2 linked regions of the Coturnix japonica genome follow. The protein of the gene in region 1 purifies or fractionates together with the protein of each later gene. This does not show direct contact. Links are inferred from orthologs where the notes say so. Each region holds a gene or a part of one and is shown on either strand. Other genes may lie near its edges.

Evidence for each region.
Region 2: the proteins of COPS7B (region 1) and DCAF1 purify together in Homo sapiens (affinity purification with mass spectrometry; 3 studies listed by BioGRID, with this or other methods). This does not show direct contact. The link is inferred for Coturnix japonica from reciprocal best matches to the Homo sapiens genes COPS7B and DCAF1.

Annotation. Positions count from the first base shown.
Region 1 is NC_029524.1:13,414,728-13,418,018, reverse strand, and holds the end of COPS7B (COP9 signalosome complex subunit 7b), read right to left. Parts: intron 2,211-3,291; coding exon 2,052-2,210; 3' UTR 685-2,051; downstream 1-684. UniProt on the Homo sapiens protein: Component of the COP9 signalosome complex (CSN), a complex involved in various cellular and developmental processes.
Region 2 is NC_029527.1:1,257,807-1,261,715, reverse strand, and holds the start of DCAF1 (DDB1- and CUL4-associated factor 1), read left to right. Parts: upstream 1-1,066; 5' UTR 1,067-1,223; intron 1,224-1,416; exon of another isoform or gene 1,417-1,745; intron 1,746-3,909. Other genes in the region: guanylate-binding protein 4-like, read left to right, coding at 273-667. UniProt on the Homo sapiens protein: Acts both as a substrate recognition component of E3 ubiquitin-protein ligase complexes and as an atypical serine/threonine-protein kinase, playing key roles in various processes such as cell cycle, telomerase regulation and histone modification.

The sequences.
Region 1 (3,291 bases):
CTACACCTCCTGAAGCTGTCAGCTAAACACCAGGAGATGCTAGTACAGAAACCAGAACAGTCACTGCAAGGGTTCCCTTGAGATATAAGTGAAGACTTCATGTTTCAGGCTTACTCACTTAACATTTAACATCTTTCAATGGGAATTTTTTTGGCTAGTATTTCTGAGGGAGAAAGCTGACAATGAATCAGAAACCAAGGGACCTGACCCAAAGGCAGCTGGATGGGAGGCATTTAGATCCACCTCTTAGACTGAAAGCTGCTGTGCCTGCACTGCAGGAGGAGAGAAAAAGAGAGAATTTCCTTTTACAAGCGCACAGCAGGTCCTGGAGCCAAGGACTGAGAATGTGCAGATGGCAAAGAACTCCACAGCATTTAGTGGACGGCACGTGCATTGCACAAAGTAAATGCAGGACTGGAGTGCTGTCACAGCTGTCTGCTTCAACAGCCCCCCTTCCCGCTCCTGGAAAACCTTTATTTATTTATTTTTTACAACACTGACTGAAATAAAACACTTCAGTTTGTGAGACCCAGAGAAAGGAACCCAGCTGCCAACGATGGAGCAAAACTTCAAACCTCCTATTATCAGGCAGCAACGGTGTTTAGGCTCAGGACTCTGGGCTCAGTTACTGGCTTTGCCACAGATCCTTCCACACAAACTTGGACAAAGATGAAGCACTGACAGAACAGGAACAGTAATTCTCTGTTTCCCAGATGCGTCAGGGAGAGATTAGTCAGACCTTCTGATAACGTAGCATCAGGAATCAAGTAAAGGCTCGTGTGAACAAATGCTAAAGCAGTCTCAAAGCCAAGACTCTGAACTCTGACATTAAATCAGCATTTTTAATTTTTTCTAAAATGTGCTTTTTTCTTGTGAATTGCTGTTTCACTGCCGGCCCCATCCTCCCCCTTAGAAAAAAAACCCAACCCATTCCTCACCAAATCAGGTGCAAATCACCTGAAGTTAGACTGTAACATATAAAAAAAAAATAACCCACAAAACAAAGGCTGAAATGCTTCAGAATCACAACAATGTACAAAAAAAAAAAAAAAAAGAAATAAAAAAAAGAAGAAAATACAACCTGAAAGTGTTCAAGATTCAGAAAGACTAGTCAAGTCCATTGGTTCAGCAAGGGGATACTGCTGTGACCCCTGCCAGTGGGTCCTGGGCCACCAGCCTGCCACAATGCTAAAGGGGCTCTTCTCCCACGCAGACCACTGTCACTAGCACCCAAGGAAGAGCAAATGCATTACCCTCTGGAGGTATCAACGGGGGAACAACTCACAAGCAGCTCTGAGAGGTGACATCACATTCCAAAGGAGCACTGTTTTTACTGTGTCCCTAACCATCTGTAAGAAGGAAGGCTTGGAAGAGCAGCCTGCTTCCTCCTTTCTGTATTGAGGCCTCAGGGATGCAGACCAGTGCGTTAAATCTGCAAGAGATTGAAGGGCTTAGTAAGGGCAGTAAACAGACAGTTAAGTAAACAGCCCAGCACTGAATCTCATCCTCACAGAGCGAGGTAGCGTGAATTTTACCCCAGTTCAAAACAGACAGGGGTAGTGGAAAGGCTGAAAACTTCAATGTAAAGCAGTTCATGGCCTAGAAACCTTTCTGTGCTCCCTCTGGGAATGAAAAGATCTGTGTTGGTGGCTTCCTCACTCCCAGCCTGGCTTTATTAGCCACACTTCAGCCCTGGGATTCACTCTTGACACAGAAGTCATCCCAAGATCTGATTTAGTACAGCAGCTTCCTAAAGGTTAAGCAGCAATGAAACTGGCTGAGAGGGAGCAAAACTGTCCACAGATTTTTTTACTGCCCCATTGTGCCAGTCCCTCTCTTCAAAAGTCCCTCTTTAAAGGACCAGAACAGAGACACCCTCATTAACGAATAGGGGCTGCACAGTGTAACTTTGCCAGGTGCTGCATTCAAACAGGGCTTTTATTTGCCAGCCTGGAAGGGACTGGCCCAGAACCCACTGGAAAAGGAGACACAGGCCCTTTTTTGCTCCTCCTGCTGTCATTCCTAGCTGAATGACATTTGGATGGTATGTTCTAGTGACGGCTGGAGACCAGCCCTTTAACTTTGGACATCTTCTTTGTGGACTGCCTTTGTTCTGTGTGTGGAGGGCACTCTCGCTCTACCAGCTGCTGTTCCATCTCCTGTGCAGACGACGAGGCTGTAGCTTTTAATGTTTTCTTTATGTTTGTGACCTGGCCAAGAAGAGACAGTGAGTCAGCACCAGCTTCCTTCTCTCTTTGCATTAGAAACTCTGTTCATAAACATACTGAAAATCCCTTGGAGTGCAGACTGAAGTCTATCAAAAACTTTCCCAACAAAAACAGACTGCATTTGAGTCTTAAGGGGCAACGTTTTGTGCTCACTTAAAGCCAGCATTCTTGTAATCCATACTGGACTCAGACTGGAAATAACTAGAGATTACCTACTTCTTTTATGAGACAAAAATACAATACTATTCTATCTTCTTGGTTGGACAAAGGGAGCTACTACTGCCTTTCTGCAGAAGGCAGCCATCTTACCACTAGGCTGGCCAGAAGCAGCAGGGACAAAGTAGTCAGTGAGAAACAAACATATGCTTCCAGGAGCACTCAAAAAGAAAAAGGAAAAATGCCACTTGATCTGTCTGGCTGAGCCATGGATATTTGCTAGAAGCAGGAACATGAACTGGTCTGTGGGAGGGAAGAGTAGCGCTCCCACGACTCTGGCTGAAAAGGAGAGACAAAGCACCAGGCAACATACCTTGTCTCATAAAATTCTGTAGTGCTCACCAGTAATACAGTCAGCAAGCACTAAAAACAGAAAAGGAAAAAAAGGAGGAAAAAAAAGGCCCAAACAAGTTTGGGAGTCAGGTGCACCAACTCCAGGCTAAAGGCATCTGGCAAACCAAAAGCACTACGGATGCCAATCAAGCCGCCAAGCATGAACTGCTTCGGAAAGCAAACGTAAACCTGCAGGGATGCAGCACTATGCAAGAAATAAACCCTCAGCGAGTGTCTCAGGAGGACCATTTTCACCTTTACAGCTGTATTAGCCAAGATTTGTTCTCACTAGTAAATACACATCAGCCAGGGCTGACATTGTGTGCTCGTGCTGCCATCTATGGTCTAAGAAGAGGTACAGCCTACAGTGGGAGCGCGCCCAGTCCACACTACTCTAGAGCCCTTGTGTGCAAAAGCAATGAGTCTCGAGAGATTTTTAGTTTTAGTGTGGTTTTCCTTCCTTACACAAAAAAGAGAGAACTATATGCAAGGTCTGTATCACAAGGGCTCTTTC
Region 2 (3,909 bases), on another chromosome or scaffold:
CCCTGGGGCCAGCTCATGGCATCCTCATGTACTTCAGGAATGCTTGTATCCCTCCAGGGACATCTCACGATGGCCCCATCTCTTGAGGAGTCCCATTCTATCCTGGGGACATCTCACAGAGGGCCCACATCTCTTGGGGTGCTCCAGTGTGCCCCGGAGACACCACAAATTGTCTCTTTATCCTCACCACATCCCTGCATCCCCTCCCCGAACTAGAAGCTGAAGGCTCTGCTTTATCCTCCGTGCCCCTCACTCCGTCCCTTCGCCCCCAGACCAGAAGCAGCAGGCCCAGCTCATGGAGCAGCAGCAAAAGGCGGCAGCGGAGCGTGAACAGCAGCTGCAGGCGCTGCTGGAGGACGAACGCTGCAGCCACGCACAGAACCTGCAGGCGCTGGAAGCCAAGATGAGGGAGGAGGCGGCCAATGCGCAGCGGGAGCTGGACAGGGCGCTGGAAGCGAAGCTGAGGGAGCACGGTGAGATGCTGCAGCGAGGCTTCAATGAGCGGGCGGCGCTGCTAGAGCAGGAGATGGCGGCGTTAAAGAGGGAGATCAGCGGCAGCAAGCAGGACCTGGCGGCCAATATCTTCGACGCCGTGCGAGCTGCCTGCGACCTCGCCAGAGTGTGGAAGATATCCAGGATGAGCAAGGCCCGGGGCACCGCGGTGTAAGGCCGCAGCACAACGGGCAGGGGTCGGCCGTAGGCACAACCACAACCCGCGGCCAACGCCGACCCGCCCCCGCCGCTGTCTGGCGGCCAAATAAAGCGCTCCCCACTCAGCTCCACTCGCGGCCTCCTTTCCAATATGGCGGCACTTCCGGCGCGGTGACGTCACAAGCAGTGCGACCGGAAGCAAGCGCTCCCCCTTCCGGCCCTTCCGGGAAGGAGAGAAACCTCGCGAGACTACAGTCTTTCCCTTTTCACCCGGAGGGCTGTGGCGATGCTCACTTCCGGTTGTAGGCGTGTGGGTGGCGCCACAGTACTACAACTCCCATGATGCTCTGCGGCAGCGCTGACATAACGCATGCGCAGATATGCCCTCGGCGCGAACTGCGTTTCCCATGAGGCCTAGCGCGAGGCCTGCGCTCGCCGCTCGCTCCTCCCGCCCCGCCGCTCGCATCGTGCTGACGCGCAAACTGTGTGCCCGCCATCGCCATCGCGGCCGCCGCGGGGCCGAGCTCAGGGCCGGGGCGGCAACGGCGGCGACCCAGCAGGGCAACGGGCAGGTACGGGGCAACGGGTGGGCCGAGTCGGGCTGGTGGGAGTCGGGCCGGTGACCGCGGCCTCTAGGCCGGGCCGGGCGGGAGGGCGGGTGTCGGCTCGGGGCCTGCGGGAGCCGCGGGCGGTTGGGCCGCTGTGTGAGCCCCGCCCCGCGGTAGCGGGTGTCCGCGGTGTCGGCGGGGCTGAGGGCACCGCGCTGCCCCCGCGGCCTGTCCGCTCCGCTCCGCTCCTTGGGCCGGCGGTTCCGCTCCCGTCCCGGGGCTGCCGGCAGGAGCCTCGTTACTGCCCGCGGATCGAGGCGGCGGCGCTTCCGCGTTGGTGCTGGGCCCGGTGCCCGCACGGCGCTGTTGGCTGCGGGCTGTGCCTGCCCGACCTGGAACGGGAGGAACCGGGAGAGCTGAGTAACTGCGTGCTGTGCTCCGGTGTTAAGAGACGATATAGCTTTAAAAACGAACAACAGCGACCATTATTGCCTTAATGTCGTTTCTTTTCCTGGTCATTTATTTATTTATTTAAAGCGATTCAAGGTATGCGTTGTGTAACAGCAACCAAGTGGGGGCTGCGGGAGGGGTGAAGTTGGAAATGAAGGTTCCCCTCCGCCCCCCTCAGCCCTAACAGTGCGGTGCCTCCTATTGCCCTGCTGTGGGATCTGGAAGCTGCTGCTGTGCTCCATCCCAGGGCTGACAGCGAGCTGGGCTGTGCTGGGCTCCTCCGGTTGCTTGGGGCTCAACAGGTACAGACAACCAGCTGACAGCATCTCTGCTGTTCAACACTAACTGTGAACAGGAGGTTATTACTCTTTCCTATTTTCCTTCAAAGTAAAGAACTCCCCGTGTTAAAGGATAAATATATGAAGAGCGTATGGATGTGCTGATCTGCTTGCTGGGTGTTTAATTGGGTTCTGATTCCTAAGTTTCTAATTTGTCTCATCTGGGATTATATTATTGCATTCTGCTTCTCATCTATTTCGTCTTCTCAGCTGTATTTAAAATGCTTGTCTGTATGGCAGTCAGTGTGTTCGGAGCCTCATAATCCTTTTCAAGAATGCAACACAATCAATATGTGAGTGACCTGCTCAGTGTGACACTCACACGTGCTGAGGAGCAAGAGGTGAAGCTGAACAGCCTGAGCTGTGCTCTGCTCTTAGGGATTTGTAGCCAGAGCTCCCTGGGACTTGTATTTCTTTGCTGTGTGGAGCTGTCTGAGCCTGCAGGAACTGTGAGCGCTTCTGGGTCTCAGTGACTCTGGGGTTGTCTTTTCTGTCTGGCTTTTACATCTTTGTTTGGAAGAAGAAAGTGCTCAGCAAAGCACTTGGTTACGATGCGGGGATGCCGATTAGTGCTTAGTACTGAAGTAATACATTGCACGTGGGTTATTAGAGGAAGTGTTTGCAGGGAGTTGTTCCTGAGGTTTAAAGTCTTTTGAAGTGCCATCCTTTGAGTGGGTCCTGCATGGTTTGTTCATAGCAGTTCTACTGGAGCTGTATGTGATGTCTTGACAGCAGCAGTGTCAGGAAAGATGAAGTGTTCCTACCACTACCTTATCAGATACATTAACTAAAGTCTGTTGTGGGGCACAATATTCAAAACTTAGTGAAGAAGTCATGGATTCAGATCCACGATCAGAGAGATGCTCCCTGTTCTGCTGCTTCCTGGAAAGCAGTGTGAGGTTGTGTGTATTCACCAGGTTCTCCAAGGGAGATCCCTGCAGGGTTTCCTGGCTGGCAGAGCAGGAGGATTTGTGCCATTTGCAATTCAGTTCATCCAATTTCTGGCTTTGGCCTTTCTGCAGGGCACTTCGCTGTGACTTAAGGTAGAATACTTGGGGGGGGGGAAAAGCAAGCACAGCAGGAACTGCTTTGATTCTTGTATTTGAAAAGGCTTTTGGCTGCTGTAGCTTTCCATCCTTGTATATTTTGTATGGGAACTGCAGCAGTGCTGCTGGGGGTAGATTTTTTTGTTGCCTCCCTTTGCAGTGCCATGTTTCTTTGATTGCCTTGAGGAGGCACCAGCAGTGCTGAGTACCTGTCAATAGGGCAGCATTCTTATGTTTTAACTGTGTTGCAGGGTGTACTGTATGATCATCAGTTCTTTAGACCCATTATGTGCTTGAAGTGAGATAATCTTAGAAAGCTCCAAGGTTTTCCTTCATTTCCCTTGGTTATGGTATAATATGAGCACTCTGATCTTCCTGCCTTGGACTTTGGCCTGCTGGAGCAGTGTGTCTCATTTTTAGCTGGAACATGAAAAATTGTTATGGGGAGGGAAGCTGTCCCTGCAGGTTGCAGGAGATCCTGCCTCGGCCTTGCACAAACTCTTGGGGAGCATGAAGCATTTTTTTCTGTGCCCTTTGGGCATGTAACAAAGGTGTGGATGGCAGAAATGATTAGTTCAGAGGCTCAAGGTAGATTTTATTTACTCATATGGATGTTGTTTTTCTGTGTGCTTGAAAGCTGAGAAATGCTGCTGGCAAGTGGAGTTAATGAGCAAAGACATGGACCTGTGTGAGCTGGGAGCAGCTTTCCATATCAGAGGTGTTGTGTTGTACAATCTCAGGATGCTTTGTTGTTTGCATTGAGCTGGTGCTTTTTGGGAAGCCCCTTGTCCTGTGATAGGTGAACAATGGAAATGCTCTAGATAAAATCATCATTACTTCTCATGTAAAGAACATCAGCTTTTGCTATCCTTAAAC